7 linked regions of the Danio rerio genome follow. The protein of the gene in region 3 interacts with the protein of the main gene of each other region in a pairwise test. Links are inferred from orthologs where the notes say so. Each region holds a gene or a part of one and is shown on either strand. Other genes may lie near its edges. The genes, in order: eif4h, rad54b, lnx1, aida, agtrap, trim54 and ca8.

Region 1 (4,987 bases), on a different chromosome or scaffold from region 3:
GGGTAGTGTTTAAGGACTTAAAAGCACAAACTTAAAATGAACACAATTGACAAATAGTCAAAGACAAATTAAATGTTAGCAAGGCGGCACTGTCCCAATCAGGCCAGTAATGATCCGGTCTACTGTCCCAAGTGTCTCTCACGCTAACCCAGGGCCACCGGGCTGTCCTTATTGTTGAGCCCTGTACAGGAAACAATTTTTGAACCTCATATAAGAGAGAGAGAGAGAGAGAGAGAGAGAGAAAATAAAACATGCACAAACAAAGTACTGTTAGGGTGATTATTTTTTTTCCTTCTAAAACATAAATTCATGTCATTGAGCAGAGATGCCCAAACTAGGTCCCGGAGGTCAAAGTTGGCCTATGTTACTTTTTAATTTGGCCCACCATCCCATCTAAGAGAGGGGGAACGATGGGGGTGGTTTCGAGATTTTCAATTTAGATTTAATGTAACCTTTTTTGTTTGTTTGTTTTATTGTTAAACGCTGACTAAAATGAAATGTTTCAATGAAATGGTGTAAATTATTCAGATTTGATTTAAATCTATAGACTGTCACCCGACAATTCAGAGACTTTGGTGAGCAAATCAAGCCAAAGGCAGATTCTGCTTGACTAGGGTATTCAGCGTTGAATTCCACAGTGTTATAAAATCATTCATTCATTCATTTTCTTTTCGGCTTAGTTCCTTTATTAATCTGAGGTCGCCACAGAGGAATGAACCGCCGTTGTACGCAGCGGATGCCCTTCCAGCTGCAACCCATCACTGGGAAACCCATACACACTCATTCACACACATACTCTATGGTCAATTTAGCTTACCCAATTCACCTGTACCTCATGTCTTTGGACTATGGGGGAAACCGGAGCACCCGGAGGAAACTCGCACAAACGCAGGGAGAACATGCAAACTCCACACAGAAACTGACCCAGCCGAGGCTCGAACTAGCAACCTTCTTGTTGTGAGGAGACAGCACTACCTACTGCGCCACTGCGTTGTCTAGTGTTATAAATGTGATTGTTTATGTTTTATTGCAATATGTTTTCACTTAAAAAGTTATACGGTATTACTTAATACCATTTAAAGTGAGGTTTTCTATTACATAAATATGATTAAATAAATTAGGAGATCATCCATGGCAACGTTAATGTAATATAGGCTTACTGTAGTTTGGTATATTTACCTTCGGCCCACGGCTCTCAATGATATTTAGTTTTTGGCCCTTCATACGAAAATGTTTGGGCAGCCCTGCCATAGAGGGATACCAGACGAAAGAAACTCATACATGTTTGGAGCAAGTGTAGGATGAGTAAACAAATGACAGAAGTTTGGGTCGCTTTAAATAAGCATTCGGGTGAACAATTCAACAACTTGCCTTCTTTGTCGCTCCCTACTGGCAAAAAATAAACAAATCACTAACGTTAAATGAATCTATTTGGTGAACTGATTTAAAAGATCCGAACACTGAATCAAAACCCCACCAGTGCGTCCCTCCAAAAGAAGTAGCTGATACTACATTTAACCGGAGTCGAGTCGACCCGCCGTTGCCTAATTCAAAACTCCTTCAATATTCGCATTCAAAATGTGACTTTCAACACACCCCCTAACAATTAAACGCGCGCGTTACATTTAAGCATTTACACAATATAAAAGCCGTCCGCGTTTAGATGTATTGTATAAAATTCAAAGGATGATTTGTCAGGCACGCGGAGGTCAGCTAAATCTCGCAGCCGTATATTTTGGGGTCCTTCAGCGTCAGACTGCTGCTTTCTCTGAACAGCATCTTCGGCAATGGCGGATTACGATAACTACGATGACCGGGATCGGGCGTACGGGAGCTTTGGCGGTGGAAGAGGGTAAGAAACCTCGCGTGCGAGGAGCGGAGAGGCGTGCGTTTTAGGTGGGAGTCAGCAGGGCTGTGCGTGTGGCCGCCGGTTTGCAGGACACCCAGCGGCTGTAGGCCACGCAGCGGCGGCGCGCTCCCCGCTATGATGAATGAAGGCCGGGCTAGAAACTCAGCCCACATGGGCTGCATGTCTCGCGGCTGACTGATTATTTCAGAGGCCTAGTGTGTTTTTTTTAAACATTCCTTTTCGACTATGCCTCTTAAATCAGGTTATGATGTCATGATTGTTGCTTTATTTGGGCGACAGCATGCTGGCGTGTTTAGCACGGTCTAACGTTAAGTTACATTGGGCCTTAAATTGCGGTTTGACTCCCATTTATGCTTCTCCGCAGTTTTTAAACACTCCAAAATGTTAGTTTATGAGCAAAATGATGGTAGCTTGAGATAATGGCGCCTTCACAGTTTTGTACATGCACAGTGGAAGTCTCTGGTGTGAGTGTCATGTAGATGAACATGTGCATCTGTATTCTGCTCGCGCGGTTAGAGTCCACTTTTAACAAACGAGGGATCTTGTGTTTGTTATTGAGGTAAAGTTGGTTTTATATCCACACATTTGGACTTTCTCTTTAATAATATGATTTCAGAAAAGTGTTATTGGAAGATTCTAAATACCGCGAAATCATTATTAGCTGACAATGACTATCAAAGCACACCAATGTTCAGTCAGTTAAATCGTGCTAATGTTGTTTTGTAGTCGTACTTGTGCTTTCAGACCGAATATTCAAAGTAACTTAACATGATAAACAATATAAGGATATTATAATAAGTAGTCACTGAACGAATTTGCAAATATAAAGCCAATTTGACATAGTGTTTAACACATTTGTGGCTATGGTTTTACGTCCATACCGTTTCTCAGGTATGTGTGGCATTAATCGCTTCTTGAGTATTGAAACAGAAAGTAAGTCCACTTGATGTATGTAAACCTGTGGGTTTTGTGTTCAATTTGGGCTTCGTTTATTGTGCTGCATTATTACTGAGGAACCTTTGTGTGTACAGAGTCTTGAAAGTTGAGGTTGACGACGACTTAGCCACTTTTACACCTCTGTCTGATCTCTTCAAGCTAAAATGGCCAAACACCTTATTTAATCAGTTATTAGTTAAATGTTTCAGTATACCATGGTATTTCCTTGTTTTTAAAGTTCTTAAAAAAGGGATCGTTCACCCAAAACCCTCCCTTCATTTGCTCCTTAAAGAAAGCTGAAAACATGTGTTCAATGAAAAGAAGAAATTTAAAGAATCTTAAAAACAAAATTGAAGAAATAACACAATGTTTTGTTTTCAAATGCAAACTAACCCCCTTTTCGCAAACCTAAAGGCTCAAATACACTCAAGGTTATAATAAACAAACACACACCGATCGCCACATAAACCCAGTGTGTATGTCTGTGAAAATAAACATCTGGGCTGTATCAGGTCGCTTTGCATTAGATCTGTGTAATAAAAGGACAGCAGTGTAAATGCAGTAGTAGTCTCCATTGGTAATATGAATCAAACTACAAATAAGTCACCGCTGAACCACATTAGTAGTATAATATGCATACTTGAATGCAGTTATTTTTACTGAGCTGTTCTCACTGGCCACTTTATTAAGTACACCTGTCCGTCTGCTTGTTAATACAAATTTCTAATTAGCCAATCACATGGCAGCAACTCAGTGCATTTAGGCATGTAGACATGGTCAAGACGATCTGCTGCAGTTTGATCTGAGCATCAAAATGGGGGAGAATGGTGATTTAAGTGACTTTGAACATGGCATGGTTGTTAGTGCAAGACGGGCTGCTCTGAGTATTTCAGAAACTGCTGATCTACTGGGATTTTCATGCACAATCATTTCTAGGGTTTACAGGAAATGGTCCGTAAATGAGAAAATTCTGTGGGCGCAATTACCTTGTTGATTCCAGAGGTCTGAGGAGAATGGCCAGACTGGTTGGAGCTGATAGAAAGGCAACAGTAACTCAAATAACCACTTGTTACAACCGAGGTCTGCAGAAGAGCATCTCTGAATTCACAACACGTCCAACCTTGAGGCGGATGGGCTACAGCAGCAGAAGACCACAGCAGGTGCCACTCCTGTCAGCAAAAGGCGTTCTCAACCGTGCTAACCGAACCGTGCCCAAGCCCGTTTCCCGGATCGTTTAAGAAGTGTGAGTGAGTTAAGTATGAGTGCAAAGCGCACCTGAGCCCAAAACTGAAGGCGAGACAAGACTTTTAAGGGACTGTTTCATTTGGATTTATTAATTATTCATACAGTTCAAGGAACACAAACTATCGTAGATTATTAAAGACACAAACTCCTCACTGCATGACAGCTACACCTTTAGCAAACCTCCTAATTCTTGCAGCACGAGGACTTTATGATTGTTTATGAGTGACAAAAGTGGCGGATCTGTTCGGCGAAATATTTGACTGCGTCACTATCAAATGACTAAAACAATATAACTGAAGAAATCTCCACTGTGCTGAGCGAGAGCACTTCTTACTGAACAGCGCATCATCGATGACGGAAGCAAACTCGGGCACGAATGCATGCGAGTGCGGGCCATCGGGGGGGATGGGAGGGTGGACAAGCATGCTTCGGCCCGGTCCAAGGAAACTGTACATAGTGTAAGTACACCCCAAGAACAGGAAATTGAGGTTACAATTCTCACAGGCTCACCAAAAATGGACATAAGAAGATTGGAAAAAGGTTGCCTGGTCTGATGAATCTCGATTTCTCGACATTCAGATGGTCGGGTCAGAATTTGGTGTCAACAACCTGAAAGCATTTATCCATCCTGCCTTTTATTTACAGTTCAGACTAATGGTGGTGGTGGTGGTGTAATGGTGTGGGGGATATTTTCTTGGCACACTTTGGGCTCATTAGTATCAATTGAGCATCGTGTCAATCCCACAGCCCACCTGAGTGTTGTTGACCATGTCTATCCCTTTATGACCACCGTGTACCCATCATCTGTTAGCTGTTTCCAGCGGGACAACGCACCATGTCATAAAGCGCAAATTATCTCAGACTGGATTCTTGAACATGACAATGAGTTCACTGTACTCAAATGGCCTCCACAGTCACCAGAACCCAATCCAATAG
Region 2 (4,831 bases), on a different chromosome or scaffold from region 3:
ATTATTTTATTAATAACATTTCATTTTTATTTTAAATTATTTTAATATAACTAAGGTCTTCAACTTATAATAAATATAATTTTTTTGTTTCTTTGCAGCTTAATATGTAATTTCTTTGCAACAAACTTCATTTTTTTAATAATTGTGTTAAACTACTACAACTTGACAAGAATATTTGTTACACTAAACATGATTTAGGAAATAAAATTAAAAATGATTTTTTAAAAATCCAATCAAAACAAATGTTTTTTTATTTTCACACTGACAAAGTTAAAATAATGTAAGAATAGATAAAAAAAACTGCAAACAGAAACAGGTTTGTATATAAATTTTACATTTTATTTTGTTAAGTATCTTAAACATACAGAATTGTAAGATTACTTGTTATGTTACACATTCAAATGTTTTCTCATTTGACAACTACAATTTAACATGAATAATTCTGTTACATTAAAAAGTAATTAAAGAATGTAAATTATAAATGAACAATGATTACAAATATACAACACATTTAATGTTGAAAATGGAGTGTTTACCAGTAAAACCCATATATCAGGAGCCTGTTGGTCCCTCCCTCACTGACATCCAGCAGACGGTCCTTAATAATAACCCCTCAGTAACAGGTGATCTGCGCAAGTGTTCCTGCACCTGCCTGGCCACGTGACAGAAAAACAACTGATCATCTTAGGTGTCCGTTTGTGGCTTGACCATTAAACACTTCTGTTTTTCTATGATATGCTGCTCTGGTTAAACCCTCACTGCTAACAGATCCGCATTTGAGGATATACAGCAGGATCTTTATGAAGGAGAGGATGTTTGTCAGTGTCTGGTCACTCTCACTGCCTGAATGATCTCTGTTCTTCATGGCTGCGGTTGGATTAGACAGGATTATGCTTTCCCACACTCTGATTGGATTATTTTCTACACGCCAACATTACAGCTTCACTTTCAGACATGCAGCACTGTATAAAATATTGACACAACACATGCAAACATGCATCTGTGTGCATCCCAAACACAGTTACTGAGTAAAACACTTAAGAATTCAATAAAATCACACTCAAGCACCATGTATGTGTTATTAAACGTTTCTAAAGATTAAAGGGTAATGTTATTCAAGATTTCTCCAGTACTGTGCCAGTAATTCATGATTATATATATTTATTAGTTAAATTACAACCAAAAATAAACATTGATACATTGATCATAATTTATTTCATTCAGTGCCTTTCCAGTACTCTTTTTTACATATACAGATTTTTCTTTACTGTGTAATATGTACAAAAATTCACCATTTGTTTACTTTCTAGTAAAATATGTTTGTTAATAAGCAATATTTTTTGCAATAATTCGAATATAAAGTATACTAACAATGTATTAATGAAAGACTGCAATGATGAATATAATAAAACACACACAAACCAGTAATTGATTTGATGTCAAAGCTAATAACTGTGCACAAAACTTGTTTGTTATAATGTAAATAACCAAACAAGTCTAGTTAATAATGTGTAGTAGCTTCTACTTGCCTGTTTGATCAGTGATGGTTGACAGAAATCAAACTTTTCAGACGTCTCTTCTATTTTGCTTCATTTACCTTTGCTGGATTAGATATATATTATTTGCAGGCTACATTTCCTGTCAGGTTTCTTTAACAGTACTCTCTCTGTACTGTTGATTTTTGCTCTTCATAAGCTCCTCAACTCCACCTACTTTACGTGACGTCGAGTTTTGTCCAATCACAGCAAAGGTACGTCACGTCCGCGGGAGACTCGTTTTTGAGGGAGTTTTTGTAAATAGGCAAAGTGATTGACATACGAGAGGAAACTCGATAACAAGGTAAGCGGTTTACGTATTGCTTATGTACAATTAGTAGATTAAATTCAAATGCATTTGACATGTTTTGAGAGGTGTAAGGAGTCGGTCAGCGCGGCTCAACTTTACATTGTTTACCCGTGTTTTGCTAACGACAGCAACAGATGCTTGCCTGCTTGCTAAAAATGTCCTGTTCGCAAAGGGATGGTTCGCCCAAAAGGAAACTATTTCTTTGTTTATCACATTCTTGTCATCTCTAATGAGTATGACCTTCTTAACATTATTTATGAGCTGGTTCAGTTTAATGATATATATAGATGAGCTACCCCGCGTTGTCCGATTCATGAACAAATGAAATGACTCTTATGAACTGGATCTTTTTAGTGAATCATAAACCCTCTGATACGAAAGAATTTGCAGTTCATCAGGGCTGCTTATTACACTTTAATAATAATATTTAACATCATGTATAATATTATTGATTAGGTAGTAAATATTGCATTCATAAAGAAAAAAATCCTAAAAAGTCATACTAAAATGTAATTATAAAAATGTCAACAAAAGTTCTTTTTTTCAATTTCTGTGTACATACCTCAAATCAAAGCACTTTAACTGTCACATTAGCAGCAGCAGCACGTGTTCTATGATGAATGAAAATCTATTAAGGTAAAGTTTCTCCAAAATAGTGTCATTCCAAGAAAGTATTCTTTGCCAATGCTAAATATGGAAATCTAATCCTATTATCAGTCAACGACTGTCAAAGTACAACACTGTTCACAGTCAAATAAATAGGGCTAATGTTGTTTTCAAGTAATACTTACATGTGACTTTCGATTGAATTTTCAAAGTACCATGTTAAACAATGTAGGCAGCATGTCACAAGTTGTCACTGTACGAATGTGCCGATATTTAACCAGCTTTACCTAAATTGAATAGCTTAGGTGCTGGCTCCAGACTACAGACAGTGCATAATACAACAAAATACTCAAAAATAAAACAATAAACTATTAAAAATGCTGACAATTAATGAGCAATTCCAGCGTTATGGGTTTGACATTTTGAGTAAAAAATTCAAACATAAATACACAGAGAAAATCTATGATAACATTATATTGCACCATCTGTTTATATTTTCCAAAACAACTAACCACAGAGTTATGGGATCAGAAAAATACCAATCTGTAAATATTATTTATATTTTAAAGTAAACATGCGTTATGGACGTGACCAAAAAAAGTATGCGAGTTTACAGTATACAACATACTTTGTAGAAATTCTGTAAATTAAACTGCACAACCCAAATGAAACAATGCTAATCTAAAGGATAAGAGTCGGCTTACTATAAAAACAAAAATCATTGATTTTATTTTAGTTGACATTTATGAGGAAAAAGCTTGGTTATGAATCATGTGACAGATGTAAAAATGCCACTTTTGTGACTTTGGTAAATCAAATATATTAGTTTGACAACATTGACTCAGACATTTATGAGTATTTCTAGAGTTCTGTGAAATACGAGCCTACACAAAGAACCTAGAAAGTATTTTGCTATTTTGGTAAACATTTGCATGGAATTGCTCAAATTTGTAAAGAAAAAAAAACACATTACACCCATGTAGACACAGACAAGTACAAAGTCAAAAAGGTGTACACATTGACTGTTGATGGTGTATAAATAATTTAGGCAATATTGTTTTGGATTTGTCACTGGAAAGATGATTTTGTATTGAATTGGATTTGTCATTAGAAAGGAGATAATTTGTGTATTTGTATATCATTTATTTTTTTCTTTGTTTTCTTATTTTTTGTTTGAATGTTTTTGTTCTCTTAAACTACTGTTTTATCATTGTGTGTTTTGAGTAAACTGTTAACCTTTTAAAACATTTAACCACTTTACCAGTTTAAAAGAAATGTGCTAATTATTTCTTAAATGTAGTTTTAATAAATTTTTGTTCTTTATTTTTGTTCTTTTATACTTGATGCTAATGAAAGGGTCAGAAATTATATTTTCTATTAAATAAAGTTTATATTTCTGTTTCACAGTTTGAATTAAGTTTCAGGGGTATCTTTTGTATCCGTAATAGCAATTTTCGGATTACTTTAGTAAATCAGAATGCTATAAATATAAACTATTAATAATAAATTGGTATTTAAATTCATATATATAAAAACAACACGTTACAGTGTAGGACTGCAATTTTATGACAATTTATTTACATAATTCAGATTTACACTTCATGTGTACATTCATTCATTTATTTTCTATTCAGCTTAGTCCCTTTATTATTCTGGGGTCGCCACAGCGGAATGAACCGCCAACTTATCCAGCATATGCTTTACGCAGCAGATGCCCTTCCAGCTGCAACCCATGACTGGGAAACAACCACTCACACACATACACCATGGACAATTCAGCCTACCCAATTCACCTGTACCGAATGTCTTTAGACTTGTGAGGGAAACCAGAGCACCTAGTGGAAACCCACGCGAACATGGGGAGAACATGCAAACTCCACACAGAATTGTAAACTGACACATTTGAGGCTTGAACCAGCGACCTTCCTGCTGTGAGGCGACAGCATTACCTACTGCACCACTGCATCGCTCTGTTTACATTCAACAACTAATTAACTAATCTAGTACATGCCTCTGATTAATTAGTACATTTATAAACTCAAAATAAATATTTGATCGATCATATTGCTCAATACTGCAAAAGCAATGTCAAAAAAATAAATCTAATGCAATGTATGCAGATCTGCTTCACAACAACATCTTGTAAATCTGAAATATAAAAACCCTTCTACAAATTAGTGAAATATATAATGTAACCCCACAAACATAATGGTAAACAACAATGGAAAGCCCTGCAAGCAAGTGAAATAATACAAATATGAAACACTACATATAAAAGTTGATCGAAAGACTAAATAATTAATATGCATAGTTAATGAATGAATAAGGAAAAATCAGTTAATAAATTGCAAAAATGTCTAGTGATGGTATATTTAAATTT
Region 3 (4,221 bases):
GTTTATGCAAAACCATCTTAAATATTATTAATAATTAAAATAATAGACCACCTCTGTAATGGTCTGTACCATTGTGAATGCATGTTTGCGGAAAAAAATATTAATTCAGCAATTTGAAATTGACAAATCTAGAGCACCAACAGAAAAAAGGCATTTGCACTGTAGATATCTGTAAAACTAGATGCATAGTTTGTATTTTATTATTCACTTACTTGCACATGGTAGTTACACAGTAAAATATAAATTACGTCCAGTTATTCATGGTCATCGATTAATAGGTTTATTTAATATCACGAAAGTCCATGAGAACCTCTCAATATTTCTCAAAACACTGAAAGCATAATAACAAGTTTGATGAATAAATTAGATGTATTTGAAATAAAATTTAGTTCACTGAAGCATTTTACCGAATAAAATCGGAAAACTTGACCCCCCAACCCCTGATTGTCGATGCATAATTCGTACCCTGCTTCAGGCCATACAAAATGTAGATTTTTTTTTCAGTGAAATAGTTTAGAATATTTAACAGTACATTTTATTTATATCTGACATTTAGTTTATACTGTAATTTTGCTTCATAAGTGTGTATTGTCACCAGCCTCAGCTAACAATTTAGTTTCAGCACTGTGTATTTTTTTGAATCTCAAAGTGCCAGTATAGCATTTGTATTACATTTTATGAAATGCCAAGGCTTTACAGTTTCAGAAAAAAAAAAAAAAAAAAAAAAAAACACCTTCTCACCTACATTTTGGCCTGAGGGTAAATCACCAGTACATTTTTATTTTTGAATAAAATATCTCCTTAAAACAACTACAGAAACAAGAACAAAACTATCATTATCAGTGTTCTATTTCCCCTGCTTACAGACACTTTATATCCTTTCAGTAACTCCTATTATTTCTCTTTTACACACTTGGAAAGGTGGAAACATTCTGGCAACATACTGTCAGAGGCTTTTCACTCCTCTGAATTAGACACAGCCTAACACACACGCACACACACACACACACACACACAGTCCAGCGATAAGCCTGACACACTAACTCCACATCTGATTTGATGTAGCCGGAGGCTCAGACTAAATATAAACAGCCCTTTTATTGAACTTTAATAACGCTTTTTATTAAGTTAGAACTGAGCGACTGTGTTTGTTGTTTTTGGAAGCTATCCAAGGTACAATTTGGCCGCGGTCAGCAATATCACAGCGTCCTGCAAGCTCACCATTTATTACAAACACAAGCTTTGGGCAGTCATGTGTTCAGATGCTATTCTAATTCGCCAGCGAGAATCCAAACAGCAGACAGCCAAACGTCATAAACTTTCTCAAAACTTGAACCAATTACAAGGCTAGCCCACTCTAAAATGCCAATTCTGTACTCACATTTACACAAAAGATATGAAAAATGTTGAAAACCGCTACCTCAGGACTTCCACTGTCATTTTCTCCCTACTATAGTAAATGAATATTAACTTTAAACATTTTTCAAAATATCTTTTGTATTCAACAATAAAATAAACTTATTAATACATAGGTCTCAAACTTGATTCCTGGAGGGCCGTGGCTCTGCACAGTTTCGCTCCAACTCTAATCAAACACAGCTGATCCAATTAAACAAGGTGTTCAAGTTTAAACCGTGCAGAGCTACGGCCCTCAGCAATTGAGTTTGAGACTATTGTTAAAAAGGTTCAGAAGCACTTGAAGGTGAGTGAATTGAATTTTTTTGAGTGAACCATTAACTTTAAAATCTATCATTTCCCTTAATTCTAGGATTCGTGCCAAAAGCCAGCGTGTTACGAGAAGACGGTGACTCTGTTAAAGGAGCCGCATGATTCACTCGGTATGACGGTTGCCGGTGGGATGAGCAGCAGAGGTTGGGATTTACCCGTCTATGTCACGAATGTCGACCCCAATGGAGTGGTGGGACAGGAGGGTTCCATCCGCAAAGGTACGGCCTCATAAACCTATTCAGACACATCCGACAAAGCCATACACACCTGTTTCCAAGGTGCCCCTCTGATCTTTCTTGCTTTTGAATCCACGAGCACAGATAAACAAAGACACACCTGCTCCTGCATATGTATGACTCTCATCGCTTTTGCAAATTTATGCATATAAAACTAGAAAGTGACACACTCCTACTCGTACACCTGCCATACTGCTATATTTGCTATATTGTACTCACAGTTTTGAGCTGGTTTAGCGGATGGAAGTTATTTCAGGTTTATTTTTGTCTTATGTGACATGTATAGTAGTGTGTGAAGGTGTGATCAGGCACAGGCTGGTGTATGTAGATAGATGTGTGACACCGTGAAGACATTTACAGTGGTATTTATTTAAAATAGAAAACATTCTATACATTAAAAAGTCAGAAAAAAAAATTAAACATTCGACTTATGACTAAAAACAAAAATCTACAAATATCTATAACATTACAGATAGATTAAGTTCCTTAAATATCAACTCTGGGACAAAAGTTTCCATTTTTAATGTAAAAGTTCATTTCTGACACGCACAGAAAACAGAAATAAAATATGAAACATCTTGTGTGTCTATGACAGTGTTTAGACTAAACTCCTGCTGTATTACCTCATTTAAATGGTGGTCTGGTGGTGAAACAGTGCCTCTTCAGTCTGATTTTAAAGAGATAACTAGCAGGAGTGACAAAACTAGCATATCTTGACCTCCTCTAGACCTTCCATAAATTCTATCATCGGGTGAGCTCTAGTGTTTTGATGAAATGAGATACTGTAGAGTGTGTGTCTGTGTGTGTCCTGTTTTCACTGTATTTCAGTATGAGCCTCTGTCTCTCATTTCTCAGTCCCTGTCACAAATCTCTCATGTCCTTCTACTTCCATTTCCATCTTTTGTCCAAACTATATTTGTCATCCTCGATCTATATTAGCAGTTTAAATAAATATATAATACAATGGTCACATGCAGTACATAATCAGTGACCTTCACATTTACATTAAGGACTGAATCCACAAACTTATTTTTTATGTTGTGTATGAAATGACTCCAGAAATTGTGACAACTTGTACTTTAGTAACCATATTGCTTTAACATATATTTAACACAATATTTTTGATTAACTTTACTGAAATCAAAGACACAACAGCATTTTGAACTAACAGCAGTCAACAGTGTTGTATTTTGTCCATGCTTTTTTATGCATTTCACAGAGCATGCTTTTCAAATATTGCCATGTCTAATTATTATAAGCATATCTGGGCATGGCTCATAAAGTCATATGGAGTTGATGAAGGAGGCAGCTAAATAGAAGATTTAATTTGTTGTGTTTTAAAAATCAGATTTATTCCACCAAGTACTGGTTTCTTAACCTTATGTTAAAATATTGTGTTGTCTAAAAAAAGGCTTTAAACCTGTCAGAAAACATGCCAATTTGCTATTTTAAAAGGAGGGAAATCTAAATGATATTTTAGTTTTACATTTGGAAGAAATTTCATTAGTAGATTTACAGAATTAAAAAAAGTCTGATTTTACTCAAACAATTGATAAACTGAGAATCTTACTGTGGTCTTTGAACTATTTTCATTCATTCTTTCATTTTCTTTTCGCCAACTTATCCACCATATTTTTTATGCAGCGGATGCCCTTTCAGCTACAACCCATCACTGGGAAATGAACTATTTTCTTCTATAGCTATATAAATAGTAAACATTTAAAGTGGATCAAGACGTTTGACAGAAATAGGTGTTAAAATGGTTTCAGGACAACTTTGATAAAGAGTTTTGATCAAATGTTGACTGCTGTATTTATAGAAAATATAATAATTGAATGTTAGCATTTATGTCAGAACACACTTTATTAACCTATTACAAAAATATGGAATAAAAGTAGAAATAGTATTGGAAGACTATACATACTTTTGACAAAATAGAAAACAGATAAGTGACATTTAGAAATGTTATCAATTTTTTTAGAAAGCACTGAAAAGGAGCACTGCTAGGATAAGTTCCAGTTGATCTGATGCACCACATGTGGTTTACAGAATAGAAAGGTGAAATAAAAGAATAGAGAGTGTAAAAACAGAATACACTAGAATTATTAGGTGTTTGGGGGGGGGGGGTCTTCAGCTGTTTCGTGAAAATTACTAAACTACAAGTGTATAGAACAGAATTAAGCACTAAAGAATTAACTGAAATGAAATGCAATAGCTATTATAAATTACCCATAAAATGACCCATTTAGTCTTAATA
Region 4 (4,221 bases), about 30 Mb from region 3:
AATGGCATAGACTTGAACCCAGTCCAGGACACACCAGTGGCCACGCGGAAGGAGGACACATATATTCATTTTAGTGTGGATGTGGAAATCCAGAGACATCTGGAAAAACTACCCAAAGGTCTAACTTTGCATTTGAGCATCACTGAAGTGGCTGAAAAGTCATTATGCACTGCTAGTAGTGTGCTTTTGATGTCGCATTCAAGACAACACTAGCAAAATTATTCACCCCCCAGTGCTATATTTATCCATTTTCAAATATTTTTCAAATGATGTTGAACAGATTCAGGAATTTTTCACAGTATTTCCTATATTTTTTCTTCTGGAGAAAGTCTTATTTGTTTTATTTCGGCTACAATAAAAGCAGTTTTTAATTTTTTTAAAGCCATTTTAAGGTCAATATTAGCCCCCTGAAGCAATAGTTGTTTTGGATTGTCTACAGAACAAACCACTGTTATACTGTGACTTGCCTAATTACCCTAACGTTAACCTAATTAACCTATTTAATCTTTTAAATGTCACTTTAAGCTGAATACTAGTGTCTTGATGAATATCTAGTCAAATATTTTGAGCTGTCATTATTCATTTCAATTCAATTCAGCTTTATTTGTGTAGCGCTTTTACAATGTAGATTGTGTCAAAGCAGCTTCACATAAATGGTCATAGTAACTGGAACAGAGTAGTTCAGTTTTTAGTGTTGAAGTTCAGTTCAGTTTAGCTCAGTTCAGTGTGGTTTAAATCAGTGTTTCTCAACTGGTGGGTCACGACCCAAAAGTGGGTCGTGGGAACATTTTCAGTGGGTCGCGGAGTGTTTGATAAAAAAAAAAAAAAATAACAAAAGTTAAATTTTTAACTTATTTTGACTTTTATTTTAAAATGCGTGCACGACAACCGTACTGTTTGACATGTGAAATTAAAAATTAAAAAAAATAAAATAAGAAGTCAAAAATAAGTCAAAACACAGGTACGACTCCGAATATGTGAAGTATGGATTTACATTTATTGACAGCAAAAACGACTTCAAGCCTCAGTGTGTCATAAGTAGCGAGGTGCTCTCACAAGAGAGCACGAAACCTTCTAAATTAAAACGACATTTAGAAACCAGACAACATGTTTTATTAACAGTTTAGTTCATGGAAACTGAACCTTTCCATACCCTAACCACAGTTTACAGTATTTGTCACTTTTACTCTGTAATTTGATACATTTTGTTAAATGACAGCAATGAAATACTGTATAGTTTATTTGTAAGTCTTGCTGATTTTATTATAATTCATCTCACTACTCGTGTATGTTAACAAATAAATATAAATTAATTATAATTCCTAAAATTGTATTATAGTTCCTAAAAACTTGGGTCGCGGCTTGATGACCATGTAAAAATGTGGTTAGCATAGCCAGTTGAGAACCCCTGGTTTACATCATTACTGAGAGTCCAAACACTGAAGAGCAAATTCATCGATGCGTAGCTCTACCAATCCCAAACCATGCAAGCTAGTGGGGACAGCGGAGAGGGAAAAAAAACTTCACCGAGGCGAATGAAGAAAAAAAACCTTGAAAGAAAAAAAAAGACTGAGTTGGGCACGACCATTTTAATTTCTCTGCTGGACAAAAGTCTTGTGCAGAGCTGCAGTCTCAGCAGTGGAGGCTGGAAAATTATGGCAAAGATAAAAGAAATCAGTAATTAGTAATGAGTTATTAAAACTATTCTATAACTATATTAAAATCTTTAATTTAAACAGAAATTAAGGGGCTAATAATTCTGATTTCAACTGTATTACAGTTTGTTACCATGCTTGATTCTGATTGGCTAATGAGCATTCTAAGGTGTGTTGTTATTTTCATATAAAACCACAGCTAAAGTAGTTCCGGCAAGTTTTTGATAGTGTTACAGCTCTATATCACTCCACTAAATGGTTTTTAATTATTAATGACATATTTTTGTGCTTTGTTTTCTCTGCAGGCGCAGCTATTTTCTTTGAATTCAAGCACTACAAACCCAAGAAAAGATTCACCAGCACTAAGTGTTTCGCTTTCATGGAAATGGATGAAATCAAGCCAGGTCCCATTGTTATTGAGCTGTGAGTATCAGACCAGTTGTTTGCTCTACATTGAACTGGCATTAAAGGAATAGTTCACCCTCATGATTAAAATTCAGCTTTTAATTACTCGCCTTCATGTCATTTCAATCCCCTGAGATCTGTGCATCTTCTGAACACAAATTAGAGGGTTAATTTACTCACCCACCGCTCATCCAAGATGTAGGAGAATTTCGGTTTCTTCGGTAGAGCATTAAAGCAGATTTTGAGCTGAATCTGTGGCTTTTGTCGATTCATATAATGGAAGTGAATGGTGACAGGTTTTTTAGATTGAAGGGCACCTATGACGAAAATCAACTTTTCATAGCTGTTTGGACAGAACTGTAGGTATAGTGATAAAGTCACATTGGAGTGATAGAAAATAGGGTTGGGCCGATAGACCATGACATCGTCCATCGCCGATGGCCAATAGACAATACGTTGCTGAGCCGGTCCTCTGCCCCGCCCCCTTCGCAAACCCGCTCGCAAAAAATACACACTCAGGCCCCGTTTACACTAATATGTCTTAGTGTTAAAATGGCATTTTAGAACGAGAATGATACACATCCACAACGTGTTTGACGTCCGCTAAAAACGCACATCACGTGACCACACACACACACACATAGCCACAGACACGCACACACTCTGTCATGCACTCCTCTGAGCTCCAGGCAGAGAGCAGTGCACGTCGGACAGTTTATCAAGATTGTACAGCTTGCGTCTCACTATAGCTGTTAAACCTAATATTCAGACATCCCAAGTTTCCCGGAAGTTCCGGGAGTCTCTATGCATTTGCGGGACTCATAATGCAGCAAACGAGTGGTAATCTCCCAGAAATCGTGCATCTCCCTCCCGGTCCTCAAATAAGTCGCGCACCCATCTCACCCCCAGATCCCTTCTCGCTCTTAAGATACGTACGTCGCATGCATTCTATCAACCCCTCATCATGTGAAAATGTCATTTTCACATGATGACCATGTCATCGTCCATTGCGATGTTTCACATTAGACATCGTACAATAATTGGCCTAATTGGTCGACATCGCCCAAACCTTATAGAAACCCAACAAGTGAGCTACCAGTGAGCTATAATCAGTGGCCCATCACAATGTGACGTCGGAGTGTGGTTTCCTCGCCTACCAAATTGATTGACAAGAGCCATTTTTCTTTAATAACATGTTTACACACGCCCACAGAACATTTTTTGCAAATAAACTGGGATTAAAATATTTGATTCAACTCTCTGTGATTTTTATTAGTTTAAACATCTTTAAAACAGCATGTTTGTAATTAAGAGAGTAAAATTGCTGTAATTCTTAACCGCTATAATCACCACGGCCGCATAGTAGGGGTGTTTCTTCGTCGCACTGCGATGCAGACGCGGACAATTCGGTATCGGTTCAGTAATAATCATAACCGATTATTATGTACTGACGTCATTTATCTCGTATGCACTATGTCGCCGTAGCTTACAATGGTGAGGGAGGCGAGTGCGAGTATTTACAACGCTCCAACTACCTAAAAACGCAGAAACTCTGCACAATTTCACTGCGTGTGTGTTTGCTGGAAAGTCTTCCACTAACAGCAGAAGCCCCCATTTCACTGCGTTTGAGAGAATGAAAGTAACTGTGACCCATTTGACCTGCTGGTGTGACGTTTCCTCTCCTCTCGGCTGTTACAGCGATTCTTCTGGATAGAGACATGAGCGGATGTCTGCAGAGTTTTCTCCACCGCGTCTATCATGGACAGGGTCTCTGCAGATATCATAATGTCAAATTTAAGACCTTTTAAGACCTTTTTAAGACCATTAAGTGTTAAATTTAAGACCTATATCGCAATATTAAAAACACGCGAGAGAAAATGTAAAAGCACAAAATTAGGGGTAAAATAAAGTTATTTAAATTTCGCTCTTTCGCATTACAACGCTCCCGACTTATAAAACTGCGCTTGCGACATGTGTCAGTGAAATAACGGCATACTCTGCCAGCCGAAATCATGTCACGCGCACTCAAAGCGAACTTCCGCAAACACAGCGATGACGTCACATTCGCCGCGCGCACTGAGTTTAATAACAGAAAGCTGATTGGCTATTGCAAGTTGACTTTTTTGTAGTTGTAATACCGCTAATTACAATTGGACTTGTG
Region 5 (3,462 bases), on a different chromosome or scaffold from region 3:
CTGTCAGTGTGCCTCAGGCTCCAGCTGCATCAGATAAACAGCACAGTGACAGACACGAAGGAAGCAGATCTCTTAAACGTTTGTGAGAAATACTACAATAACAACTTTCCCAAATATTATTTGATGTATTTGTTGTGGAGTTAATTCAAGCCTATGGAACGTCATTGTGTGAGACTCATCATTGCATAAAGTTTACGCTAGAGAACCCGCCCCGTTTTCTACCCGCCGCGCCCGTTTCCACTAACGAGTGGGGGGAGAACAAAACCGAAAACCACCCAGCTATACAGAGTCCAGACAGCCTATAACAAACTGTCTGTATAAACACACACACACACACACACACACACACACACACACACACACACACACACATAAGCACCAAGCAAGTGACACACACACACATAGGCATCACACTCTTTCTCTCTCTCTCACTCACACACACAGACAGCACAAAGCTTTCTCTCTCATTCGTACACGCACACACGCACAGACACACACACAGAGTGATGCTGTGTTTAGCTTGTTTGCTGCTGTCTCATTCACACACATACATACGCGTGCTCGCTCGCTCGGAAGTCGGGAGCGATATTGTTGGACAGTTACTCCCGTCCAAAATTAAACCAGTTACCGACCGCTCCCGCGCTTTATTCGGAAATGTATTACCGCACCGCAGAAATCTGGTCGGGTTGAATGCAGACCTCTAGTTCACGCACACAAACACACACACACACGCAGTTGTGACAGGATACACGTTAATATCCTCTGCTGTGTGGATATCTGTTATGTTAATGTACATATTAAACTTGATTTAATGTCCATAACCGGGATTCTTCTTTTATAATTGTACTGATATGTGGCTGTGGTGATAAAGTAAAGACGGTAAAATCTCTGTAATAAAGTTTTAAAAAGGTTTTAAATTTGTAAAACTCATTCTTGATCATATTTGATGATGATTGATGTTCACAGCGATACCAGTTTCTTTGTGTATGTCCTGTCTTGTTGATATGATTATAGGCGTTACTACAGAGACATGTTAATACGCGACGTCAATCATTTTGGTGGGTACGGGAACCACACTCCTACGTCACGTTGTGGTGGGCCGCAAAATGGGGAAAATTTGGATCCTATTTTACTGTCAGGAAATTAAAAAAAAGAGACTTAGTGTATTTTTATCACTTCAATATGACTGTGGACAAATTATACCTAAACTCAGTTATGTTCAAACTGCTTAAAAACGATGTTTAGGTGCCCTTTAAATTAGCAGTTTTCCATATTTTGTGTATTTTATTTTATTTTCTGTTTATTTATGTTTTTGAAATGCATTATGGTACATTTTCTGTGACTTTTTTCTTTACTCTTTACATATAATTTCTTATACATTATATTATTTCAAACTACTAAAGTGTGAATAAATTTTCAACATCAAAAGTCGACAGAGCAAAGATCAAGATCCCATAATGCAATTCCTACTCGTAAATAAATGGATAAATGCTTGTGAATCACGAAATACGGAAACTGTTATTTAACATGTTTTACAGCAGTTAAATTAGCTATAATATTATGTTAAAAAGGAATTTATAATAATAACTTTTGTATTGCTATAATAATAATAACTGTTTTATGAAGGTCTCGAAGGTCCCCCCTCATGATTATCTCGAAAATATCCACACTGTAACACAACAGTTCATTTTCTAGCTGTATAACGTCTGACTGAATGGGCACAGAAGTGCTGATTTATTGCATTTAAATTAGTTGTCAATATTTGCCTGTGTTTTTATTGCACATTATAAGGGAATCGTGTAATAATTTTTTATTTAGACTGGACTTCTCAGGTTGTGCTTAAATAAATAGAAGCAAAATCAAATTGATCCGTTTTACTTGGCTTGATTTCTTTTTTCTTTCCTTTTGTATTACTAGTTTTTTTTTTTACAAAGTAGTTTTGCATGTTAAAGAAATAAGGTCTAAAATGTCATTTAGAACATTAGACTATAAATGTGCAGTAAAAAGTGTCCGTTTACTCATTTACTAATGAAGTTTCTTCAGTTAATGGATCATGATCATTCTGGATGAATGAGAAAAGATTAGGCTAGGTTCTGAATATTGCTCTTGCTGATATCAAGAAATCATATGGTGAGTTAACAATGTCAATATGTATTTTTATTTTTTTTAAGTGTGTGTTTCTTGAAAACAGTAAGCATGGAAGTCCCCCCCAGTAAACCTAATCATTAAAGAATTGTACATGAGATTGAGTTGGACTTTCCATTCATTAATTCTGGATTTATTTTTCTTATTTTTTTAAATTTCAGGTTTCCCATCAATATCTCGAAACAGAGATGCCTACCAGTCTATTGACCACAACGATCAATCTGGAAGCTCTGCCAACCCCTTTGGCCAAGCGGAAGATGGCAAATCTGGCACTCGTTCCTACTAAACATTTATTAAAAAATATATATAGCAAAATGTTTTGCAACCCAGGCTAAATGTGAATTTTTGCTTGGTTCATGATTTGTGTATGTTTTTGTTTAATTTGTATGCCTATTTATTATTATTATCATTATTATTATAAATAATAGTATTAAATATAATGTTGAAGCATGAAGGAAAACAACTTTACATTTGGAGATGCCTCGTTACTGAAGAAAACTCAGAGATAAATGAAAACCCACCTTCAACACCTTTTTTTTAACCTTAGGACTGCTTTGTACAAGTGCAAGCTGTTTGATTTTTTAAAGGTGTTATTTGTGAAGCTCAAAATTTGCTGCTTCACAGTAAGGTTCCTTGATGCTATAATTTTGGTGTGCACAACATTATTATTATTTTTTACTTTTACTTTTCTTCATTTACTATTTTGTAGCATAAAATTGGTCCATTTTGTGAAAGGTTTAAACTTTTTTTTCCAACCTGATCTCACAAGAAAACGCAAGTATTTTACGTTTTGTCAGTTTAGTGGCTAATTCGTACAAATTTGTACAAGTTCAGTCATACAAAAATGAATGATTTTAAAAAGTAGGCATGGCACCTAACCCCACCCCTAACCCCAACCGTCATTGGGTGATGAGCAAATCGTACTAAATTGTACGAATTAGATTGTACGAATTCATATGAATTAGCCACTAAAACAAATAGTTATGAATTACTGTGAGATTGCATTGGTTTTTCTTAAACCTTGTCATGGGATCTGTCCTGTATTAGCTATATATTAGCTAAAATATTATAATTAGTAAAATTCTATGTTATCTATCATTAGTTATCATATATGGCCATATATATGTGAATTATATATATATACAGTTGAAGTCAGAACTATTAGCCCCTCTTCCTTTTTTTAAATATTTCCCAAATTATTTTAACAGAGGAAGAAAATTTTAGATATCGATAAGATTTTAGATATAGACACAGTATGTCTCATAATATTTTTGCTTCTGTAAAAACTCCTATTTGTTTTATTTTGGCTAAAATAAA
Region 6 (5,021 bases), about 17 Mb from region 3:
GTTTTACCTCCAGCTTAACTTGTTTAAAAATTTAGACAAACTTATTACTAACTGCTTATTAAAATATTAAATATAAAATGTTTAATAATTATTTTTTTGTGACATGAATCTCACTGAAAATGGTAAAATCTGGTGGTTTGTAGCACATAAAGATTTAAAATGATAATTAAGTATTTCAGGGCTGCAATGTGATCCTTAAATAAAGACTTTTAATATGAAATCGAATTATTATTCTGAATATGCCTCAGATTTTTATTGTTTTTAGATTTACCGCCACTCTGAAAGACATTTTATAATAGTTAAATCATAGTTTTTTTTTTCAACATTACATTACAACGCTTCAGTCACTTTATTTTAAGGTATAATTCATGCTATTCATAAACCATTAACTAAAACTTTTAGCTTGTTAGACTACTAATAAGCTGCTTATTAACAGTTTGTGAGGTAGTAGTTGGGTTTATGTGTTGAATAGGATAGTGCGTGTAGAATAAGTATTATTAAACAGCCAATATCTTAATAACAGGCAGGTAATAATCCAGTAGTAAATAAATACTTAAACAAAAGTCTTACTAAACCTTCATTTTGCTTTGTTGCTTAACCTCTTTTACATGTGACTAATTAAACTTAATAAAATTCCAATATAATCTAAACTACACTGATATTAATGCATTGCATAGCATTCAATGTATTACTACACTTCAAAAAATGTCTTTTGCTGCTTAAACTACTCTCTTAAAATAAGCTGAAACAACACAATTCTTAAGGGTTTTTTAGGGCACACTTAATATTGGAAAAACTAAGTTAACTTAAGTGAATTGAACAAAAAAATAATATTAAAACAATTAAGTTAACATAAATTATTTGTGTTGAGACAACTTGAGGGAATTGTGTGGAACCCAGCATTTTAACAGTTTATATACTATATTTGTAAACACTGGATTTGCAGGTACAGTGGGGGGAATAAGTATTGAACATGTCACCATTTATAAAACACATAACATGAAATGCATATATAAAAAGAAAACCAACTAAATTAGTTTACAAATTAAGTGTTGTGTAATAAAATGAAATGAGACAGGAAAAAGTATTAAACACATGAAGAAAGAGAGGTGTAGAAAGACAGTGAAAGCCCAGACAGCAGCTGAAATCTCTTAGTAGTTCTTCAGCAACACTCTGCCCTTCATCATTGTAAATGAATATTAGCTGCTTCAGTCCAACATCTACATTATCAGGATGATGAAAATAAAACCACAGTGGACATTTCAGCAAGACAATGATCTAAAACACAGTCAAGGAAACTCTCAAATGCTTTCAGAGATAGGAAATCAAGCTGTAGAATGGCCCAGCCAATCACCTGATTTGAATCCAATATAGAATATGAAATAATGATCAGATTTGATAGACGAGACCTGAGAGCCATCAAGACTTTTACACTGTTGAAGCCAGTGAAAAAAGTCACACCTGAGCAATGCATATGACTTCATTCTCCAAATGAGAGGCGTCTTTAAGCTGCCAAGTCAACAGCACCTTTAGAAATATGTTTTCTGAGAAAAATGTTGACGTGTTACTTATTTCCCCCACTGTATATCCACATAATCTATGTGTTCAGAGCACTTAGGCTTTGTTTTAGGTGGGTTATATCATCGGCGCCAGCTCGGGCTCATGGGCCTGCTTGTCTCACTAGCCTTTGAGTCGCACACACCAGCTGCTTGGTCTGCCATGCCCACTTTCTGCTCAAGTTACCACAGATAACACAACTCTGAGCAATCCGTTCTCCCACCCCTCTCTCTTGCTCTCTCTCTACCCCGGACCCCTCAATGCAGCGCTAACTGGGGTATTCAAAGTGATATTAAGGGGGTGTGCAGTTTGGACAGTAACCCAAGCCAGTACAAACACAGCCCAAATATATCCTCTGCCACTCTACGGTTGGCGATTGATTGGGCATCTGGATGAAGACTGGCACTGCTGGAGAATAACAGAAGGAAAGGAAGTTTAGGATCTTAAGCTATTGACTGAATTTGGTGTCCAAATGAACTTCACTTTGGGCTTCAAACCGTCGATCGGAGATTCCAGCTCAATGGAGAACTTGGAGAGGCAACTGATTTGCCCCATCTGTCTGGAGATATTCAGCAAGCCTGTCGTCATTTTACCCTGCCAGCACAATCTCTGCAGGAAGTGTGCCAATGATGTTTTCCAGGTAATGCTTTATTGCTGTTATTATATAGTGTACGGCCTGTTTTGAACTGTAGTATCTAGAATGCTCATTTAACTTTTGAGAGCTTTTTTGTAATTGTAAAAGCTGGAAGAGGATCTGTGTTTTCAAGCCATCTATTTTCCCTTTAGAATGCCTAATGAGTTTTTAAAATACTGAGTTTGGATTTATAAGTTGAAACTGGTTCAAATGATGCAAAGAGACTTTTTGTTCTTTAATGTAAGGCAAGATGAAGCAAGGCAAACTTTATTTATAGAGCACAATTTTAAGCAACTGTATTTGATCCAAAGTGCTTTGCAATAAAATAAACTAGACAATAAAACTAAAAAACTGGTATTAAATACAAGGAAATGTATATGTTTAAAAGTAATACTAAAATACAAGTTAAAAAAATAATAATAATAATAAATAACATGCATGCATCACTCAAAGGCAAGAGAGTAAAAATAAGTCTTTAAGTTAGATTTAAAAGCATCCAATGAAGGAGAAATCCTGATGTTCAGGGGGGGACTGTTACAGAGCCTTGGGGACACAGAAAGCTCGATCACCTTTTGGTTTGAAGCAAGACCGAGGGACAAAAAAAAAAATTTGGTCATGGAATCTTAACGGTCTACAAGCTGAATAAGGCCTAATAAGTTCACTGACATAGACCGGGGCAGAATAGTGCACTGCTTTATAAGTGAAATGAAGAATTTTAAAATCAACTCTGTATTTTATAGGTAGCCAGTGCAATGAGGCAAGGACAGGGAAGATATGATCTCTTTTCTTAGTTCCTGTTATTAATATAGCGGCTGCAATGTACGCCCCCCACCCCCCAAAAAATCGTAAATTAGCAGTTTTTTGTATGATTCACCCCCTAAACCCCTCACCCCTTCCCCCAACAGAAAAATAGTACTTTAATATATTTTCAGAATTTAAAAAAAAAAAGTTACTTTCAATTTCAAATGTATTTGCTGTATTTTAGATCAAATATATGCAGACTTGGTAAGTGAATAATCTTCTTTCAAAAAACAATACAATTATTTCACCGAACACAATAAGAACGCAATTTCAACATTTTGTGATAACATACCCAAATGATTAAAATACATTTGATTTATTTTAAAAATCATGGTAATTATTATATTTTAAATGTATTTTTAAAATGTAATAACATTATTATACACTGTAAAATTATTTTGTAAACTAGCAGTTTTTGTGATTCACGTTGTTTATTGATGCTTTTATTTATTTGTTCGTTTAATTTTGTTGTTTGTTTTTGTGGAGTTTTCAAAAAAAAAAAAAAAAAACCTCAATATCAATGTTACAATTTTTTTTTTAAACAATAGCTCAGGGTAAACAAGAACATTCAAAAGCCCTCAGTCCCCCATCCCACCCCAAAGGAGGAGATTAAAAAACGCACACAACAACATAAGCACCTACAAGAATTGCAACTAAATAAATATACATAAAATATAAATAACACACACAAACATTAATAAAAAGGGCAGAGATCTTTCTTGAAAAAAAAAATCATATAAATCAGTGAAGAGATGTGTTGTATTCCTGACAAAATTAATTACAAAAGTTTATTTATGCTTTTGAATTACATTATCGGACCTTGATCTTTCTTCCAATAACATATAACCTTGAAAAGTTTAAAAATGTGCCGTTTATGAACCTTTTTTATACTTTAAAGTGATATGTTGTCTGGGTTGGTGCTCTATACGGTACCGAATTGTGTGAAACCTAGCATTTTTTTTTACACTTTGGCATGTTCAAGTGTGTTCAGTTAGTGTTGGAGCAAAACTCTGCAGGGACACCAGCCCTCCAAGATCGAGTTTGTCCATCCCTTAACTAATTGATCAGATATTAAAATGTTTTAAGTTATATTGTTAATGATGTTGTACAGTATTCCCTTAGCTGAGGCCTAATATGAAACCAGAACTCAAAGTACCATAGCATCTGTCATACAGAGATTAATGATCCATTTAGGCTTTCTTTTTTGTGCCAATCTCTTTTACTTTGCTCCTTTTGGCATTAGTTTATTCATCTCATCATCAAGACAAGTTCATCCTTTAGCAGTCATTATTAGTGTTGTTTCTTCTCTCTCTGCGAAGTGAGTGCCATTAGGTCAGACTTCAACATGACTGAGTGCTTCTAATTATACTTTTAACAGTTATAAAAGATATCTGATGGGAACATTACACATTTTTTTGGGCAAATAGATTGATTCTGGCTGGAAGTGCATTCACAGCGTAAAACATATGCTAGAATAGTTGGCGGTTCATTCTGTTGTGGTTACCCCGGATAAATAAGGAACTCAGCTGAAGGAAAATTAATGAATAATACAATAATAATAACACATTTAATTTACAAAGCTCCTTTAAAAGTTACTTTTTTAAAGTGCTTTGCCTACAAACCTCATTTATTAAAGGGAACAACAGTAAAAGATCAAAACAGATTATTGAAAACATGTTAATTAAAAGCAGTCCTAGACAATTCATCATTATATATACTCCAGACTGTTGTAAATACGCTGTAGGCCATTTACAGATGTGGATTAAAGGTAAAAATATTCATAAGACCTTGGTATTATCAGGAGTCATGTAAATTAGTTTGCCTCTATATGTTTAGACTCTTAATCATTAGCACATTTCACACAGACATTTTCAGTAAATCCTCCTCAAATATTCAGCCCGATATCACGAGTAAACATAACTATGTATATTGTCAGAAAAGTAACTATTCATACTCATTCACTGATATGTAAATGTAGATTTTTTTTTTTTTTTAAAGGAGATGTGCCTTCAAACTCCACTCCTGTCCC
Region 7 (4,221 bases), on a different chromosome or scaffold from region 3:
TTTTAACCGGCCATAAGTCTCACTCATTTGAAATTGATTTATTTAAGAAGATAATGCATTAATTAAAATATTAATAATAAATAAAGTTATACAGTGTTTCATGCACTATGTTCAGTATATTCATCCTTAACTGCAGACTCTAAGCTATATTGTCCAGTGTCATTTTAAAATAGCATGTATTACTTTGGGCGACGCAGTGGCGGAGTGGATAGCACGTTCGCCTCACAGAAAGAAGATCGCTGGTTGGTTGCTGGTTTGAGCCTCGGCTTAGTTGGCGTTTCTGTGTGGATTTTTTTTCTGTGTGGATACACTATGGACAATTTAGCCTACCCAATTCACCTGTACTGCATGTCTTTGGACTGTGGGGGAAACCGGAGCACCGGGAGGAAACCCACATGAACGCAGGGAGAACATGCAAACTCCACACAGAAACGCCAACTGAGCCGAGCCTCGAACCAGCGACCTTCCTACTGTGAGGCGACAGCACTACCTACTGTACCACTGCTTCGCCCATCAAGAAATTCTTTATGTTTTAATTTACAGTTGAAGTTAGAATTATTAGCCCCCTTCGAATGTTTTTCTTCTTTTTAAAATATTTTCCAAATGATGTTTAACAGAGCAAGGAAATAAAAATAAAAAAAGTCTAATTAGTTTTAATATGGTTAGAATAAAAGCAGTTTTTAATTTTTTAAACACCATTTTAGGGTACAAAATTATTAGCCCCTTTAAGCTTAATTTTTCCTCGATAATCTACAGAACAAACCATCGATATACAATAACTTGCCTAATTACCCTAACCTGCCTAGTTAACCTAATTAACCTAGTTAAGTCTTTAAATGTCACTTTAAGCTGTATAGAAGTGTCTTGAAAACTATCTAGTCAAATATTATTTACTGTCATCATGGCAAAAATAAAATTAATTAGTTATTAGAGCTGAGATATTAAATTATTATGTTTAGAAATGTGTTGGAAAAATCTGCTTTCCATTAAACAGAAATTAGGGAAAAAAATAAACAACCAGTCTAATAACTCAGGGGGGGCTAATAATTCTGACTTCAACTGTAAGTACTTAAATGTATATTATTTAAAGGTTCATGTAATGTATAATTTGCAACTGTGTATACATTTTCAATTAGTAAAAGTTAATAGGAGATGGATTGGTCTGAAAAATACACATCTCTGATATCAGCAAATCTATGACTATGTTTCATACTATTCATTGTAAATGACCTATTAGGCAGTGAGTAACTCTGTTCAGTTTATTATTTGCACTTTTTTGGTCAATTTTAGTGTGAGTGTTGAATTTGAACCCTAGGTGTGAGCTTTTCCAGAAACATGAGAAAACTAAATTTTTATATTTTTACTTTTCTCTCTCTATAATGCTATTATTATTACTCTGTTGTCTGTTATCATAACTACCTTTTTCCATAGTATGGTGTATTTGTTTTTAACGTGATAACATAGGCTGAGTCATTTCAGCATTCTGTACAAATTCAATCTGGGAAAACCATATCCATTAATCAAAGAAGGAAACTATTTATATAGAAAATGTTATTACAGTCATCGAACACAGGCAAGACCCTGACTAGCTTTCAAGTCTGACCTTTCCATAATATTCAGTATATGACTGGCCTTTACTTGAAAGTATTGTGCTCTGCCAGTCACTGAGATCAAAGATGCAGATAAATGCCATATATTGTTCTTTACCGTTACATTACTGTGGTAAACCCCATTCTGTGTAAGACACGTCAAAGTCGGGTTCTGATTTCCCCTTCTGTGTACTCGAAAGAACTAGTTAGATAGGACAATAGGACCATCATATATGCAGTGTGTATACCGACAGAGAGAGAGAGAGAGTGAGAGAGAATTTAGCAGAGTCATAGACTTTTGGTAATGTCAGAGACACGTATATTCAGATGAAACCATCTTCAATTAAGATTTACAAATAGAAAATGTAGACACATTTATTCATTCATTCATTTTCTTTTCAGCTTAGTCCCTTTATTAATCTGGGGTCACCACAGCGGAATGAACCGCCAACTTATCCAGCACATGTTTTACGCAGCGGATGCCCTTCCAGCTGCAATCCATCTCTGGAAAACATCCATACATCAAACTGGCAATTCTTTGCATGGAAGTTGGTTGCTATAACATGGAGACTAAAGACCATGGCGTCTAGCATCTGTTGCTAGAGCACCTTTAGAGGTCAGGAGTGAGGTTTACATGTATAGCACTTCTCTAGCTGGCCTCCGTTACACTTACCCCCTAAACCTCACTCCCATCCTATGCTATGTGTTACCCACCAGTCCTACAGCTTCCAACCCAGTCTGAGCTGAGATTGAACCAGCGATTCCTCGCATCGGAGTCAGTTGCTCTAACAAGGAGGCTAAAGACTATGACCTCTAGTGTCTATCACTAGGTTTACCTGCATAGCACCTCACTAAAAATGATGAGTCACTAACTTCATCTTTTTTTTCTTTATTAGATTCACTTTTACTGAATTGTATCTTAAATATTCAATACGGTGTAACATAGCAAAAATGAAGAAAAACAACTCTTTATAATGTACAAATATCATGAGCGTGACTTATCTTTACTGTTGGACACTTATATCTTCATATAGTGCTATTTGTTTTACATGAAATTAGCAATAATATTTTTCTCAGTAACATGATGAATTTGTTAGATTTGTTTTAATAAAAGGGGAGTCACACCAAAGGACAACAAAACATTTAACTTTTTAAACAATTTTATAATGGTTCCAAAAAGTTAAATATGTGAGAAATTCTGAGACAAACACTTAACATGTGCATGTCATGGGCTTCAAAGGAGGTCACATGATCTTAAATGAGGTCCTACAACTAAACAAACAATATTTTCAGTGGAATGCCAAAGATTTGGCTCAAAAATGTACAAATTTTCAAGTTTTCATGCAAGAAAATGATCGCAGTACTAATTACATTCATTTTTTTCAAGTGTGACAGTGAAAATGCAAAGTCAAGTCAACAACCCAATAATATTTGTATAGGCATCACCTGCATCTGAGAGATGGTCAAAGGGTAACGGTACAGAATCCAGGTGACGTTCTCACTACAGGGCGGGGTGGTTAAAGAGCCCTCATACACCCAGTAATCTCTTAATAGAGGATCTGAGTGTGTAAACATAGCAACAGAGGCAGTCAGATACAAACTGATAAACTTTAACTAGTCAGAAAACATCAAGAACAAAAACATGCAAAAAGATGCTAATACCACTATCATGGATTATTAATGAAGAAATCATTTACCAGGGAGTAATGTGTTGGGATTAAAACATGGAATTATTTTAGTCTTCCCCTGTACAAACAAAAGAAACATTTTAGGTCACAAGGGGATGTGTTGTGTTTACTAAAGCTGCTCTTCTGCTTGCCTTATACTGCAGGTCCTGCAGGACGTCTGTGATGGCCTTCAGACCAAGATGTTCCTTCCCAACCTGAAAAGGGTAAATTAGAGCAGCCGTGTCAGCTGAGCAGGACATATGGTCAGTTCAGTTTCTCCTAGAAACAGTATTTGTTTCCATAAATTCAAACATTAAACAGGATTTTTACTTCCCATCAACAGAATGATTCATAACAGTGTGCAAAGTGTGTTTTGTTAAGTTTTTGACTTTTCTAAAGCATAAAAATAATATGTTTGCAGATATTTGACAAACATGCTAAGTGAACGTTCTAGCTTATCTGAAAAACAATGCTAAAGTCAGAAATTCGGCTTTGAAAATGTGCATTTTGTGCCTGTCTTTGTTTGGAGCAATCACTCGCTTTTTTAAATGTCTAATATTCTTGTTTAATCCCGCCCCTTTCCGCAGTGCCGCACGTCAGAATATCGCATGCTCAAACTCTAATGTGACCGCAGCTTCACAGTACAGCACTGTGAAAAGGGGCAGGATTAGATGAGTAGACATTTAAAAAAAAAAAAAAGCTAGCGATTGGTCCATGTTTTAAATTCCTGTCCAGAGAGGTCATGTTTTGATCTTGGATTGGTCTCACCCAATCATGTGATGAGATTTCGCAGGTCCGAGTTCACCAAGCTTGAACTTTCAAATGCAGCGAACTGCGAAACTTGTCGCACAAGCTTGTGTTCCGTTCCGCTCTGACGCATTTATGTGCGTATGAATGGAAGTCTATGGGGAGAAAAGTGCAGTGTGACCGCTGCTTTACTAGGCTTCTAGAAACATCCTTGCAGA

Evidence for each region.
Region 1: the proteins of lnx1 (region 3) and eif4h interact in binary tests that used the Homo sapiens proteins (3 or more experiments, as listed by UniProt). The two-hybrid records come from large-scale screens. The link is inferred for Danio rerio from reciprocal best matches to the Homo sapiens genes LNX1 and EIF4H.
Region 2: the proteins of lnx1 (region 3) and rad54b interact in binary tests that used the Homo sapiens proteins (3 or more experiments, as listed by UniProt). The two-hybrid records come from large-scale screens. The link is inferred for Danio rerio from reciprocal best matches to the Homo sapiens genes LNX1 and RAD54B.
Region 4: the proteins of lnx1 (region 3) and aida interact in binary tests that used the Homo sapiens proteins (3 or more experiments, as listed by UniProt). The link is inferred for Danio rerio from reciprocal best matches to the Homo sapiens genes LNX1 and AIDA.
Region 5: the proteins of lnx1 (region 3) and agtrap interact in binary tests that used the Homo sapiens proteins (3 or more experiments, as listed by UniProt). The two-hybrid records come from large-scale screens. The link is inferred for Danio rerio from reciprocal best matches to the Homo sapiens genes LNX1 and AGTRAP.
Region 6: the proteins of lnx1 (region 3) and trim54 interact in binary tests that used the Homo sapiens proteins (3 or more experiments, as listed by UniProt). The link is inferred for Danio rerio from reciprocal best matches to the Homo sapiens genes LNX1 and TRIM54.
Region 7: the proteins of lnx1 (region 3) and ca8 interact in binary tests that used the Homo sapiens proteins (3 or more experiments, as listed by UniProt). The two-hybrid records come from large-scale screens. The link is inferred for Danio rerio from reciprocal best matches to the Homo sapiens genes LNX1 and CA8.

The regions. Positions count from the first base shown.
Region 1 is NC_133190.1:4,811,214-4,816,200, reverse strand, and holds the start of eif4h (eukaryotic translation initiation factor 4H), read left to right. Parts: upstream 1-1,715; 5' UTR 1,716-1,787; coding exon 1,788-1,852; intron 1,853-4,987. UniProt on the Homo sapiens protein: Stimulates the RNA helicase activity of EIF4A in the translation initiation complex. Binds weakly mRNA.
Region 2 is NC_133191.1:29,853,371-29,858,201, forward strand, and holds the start of rad54b (DNA repair and recombination protein RAD54B), read left to right. Parts: upstream 1-1,767; 5' UTR 1,768-1,839; intron 1,840-4,831. UniProt on the Homo sapiens protein: Involved in DNA repair and mitotic recombination. May play an active role in recombination processes in concert with other members of the RAD52 epistasis group.
Region 3 is NC_133195.1:25,282,318-25,286,538, forward strand, and holds part of lnx1 (E3 ubiquitin-protein ligase LNX), read left to right. Parts: intron 1-1,768; coding exon 1,769-1,946; intron 1,947-4,221.
Region 4 is NC_133195.1:55,027,822-55,032,042, forward strand, and holds part of aida (axin interactor, dorsalization-associated protein), read left to right. Parts: coding exon 1-118; intron 119-1,960; coding exon 1,961-2,078; intron 2,079-4,221. UniProt on the Homo sapiens protein: Acts as a ventralizing factor during embryogenesis. Inhibits axin-mediated JNK activation by binding axin and disrupting axin homodimerization. This in turn antagonizes a Wnt/beta-catenin-independent dorsalization pathway activated by AXIN/JNK-signaling.
Region 5 is NC_133186.1:18,188,785-18,192,246, forward strand, and holds the end of agtrap (type-1 angiotensin II receptor-associated protein), read left to right. Parts: intron 1-2,306; coding exon 2,307-2,431; 3' UTR 2,432-2,455; downstream 2,456-3,462. UniProt on the Homo sapiens protein: Appears to be a negative regulator of type-1 angiotensin II receptor-mediated signaling by regulating receptor internalization as well as mechanism of receptor desensitization such as phosphorylation.
Region 6 is NC_133195.1:42,035,885-42,040,905, reverse strand, and holds the start of trim54 (tripartite motif-containing protein 54), read left to right. Parts: upstream 1-1,917; 5' UTR 1,918-2,029; coding exon 2,030-2,197; intron 2,198-5,021. UniProt on the Homo sapiens protein: May bind and stabilize microtubules during myotubes formation.
Region 7 is NC_133177.1:25,094,077-25,098,297, reverse strand, and holds part of ca8 (carbonic anhydrase-related protein), read right to left. Parts: intron 3,472-4,221; coding exon 3,409-3,471; intron 3,336-3,408; coding exon 3,287-3,335; intron 3,149-3,286; coding exon 3,036-3,148; intron 1-3,035. UniProt on the Homo sapiens protein: Does not have a carbonic anhydrase catalytic activity.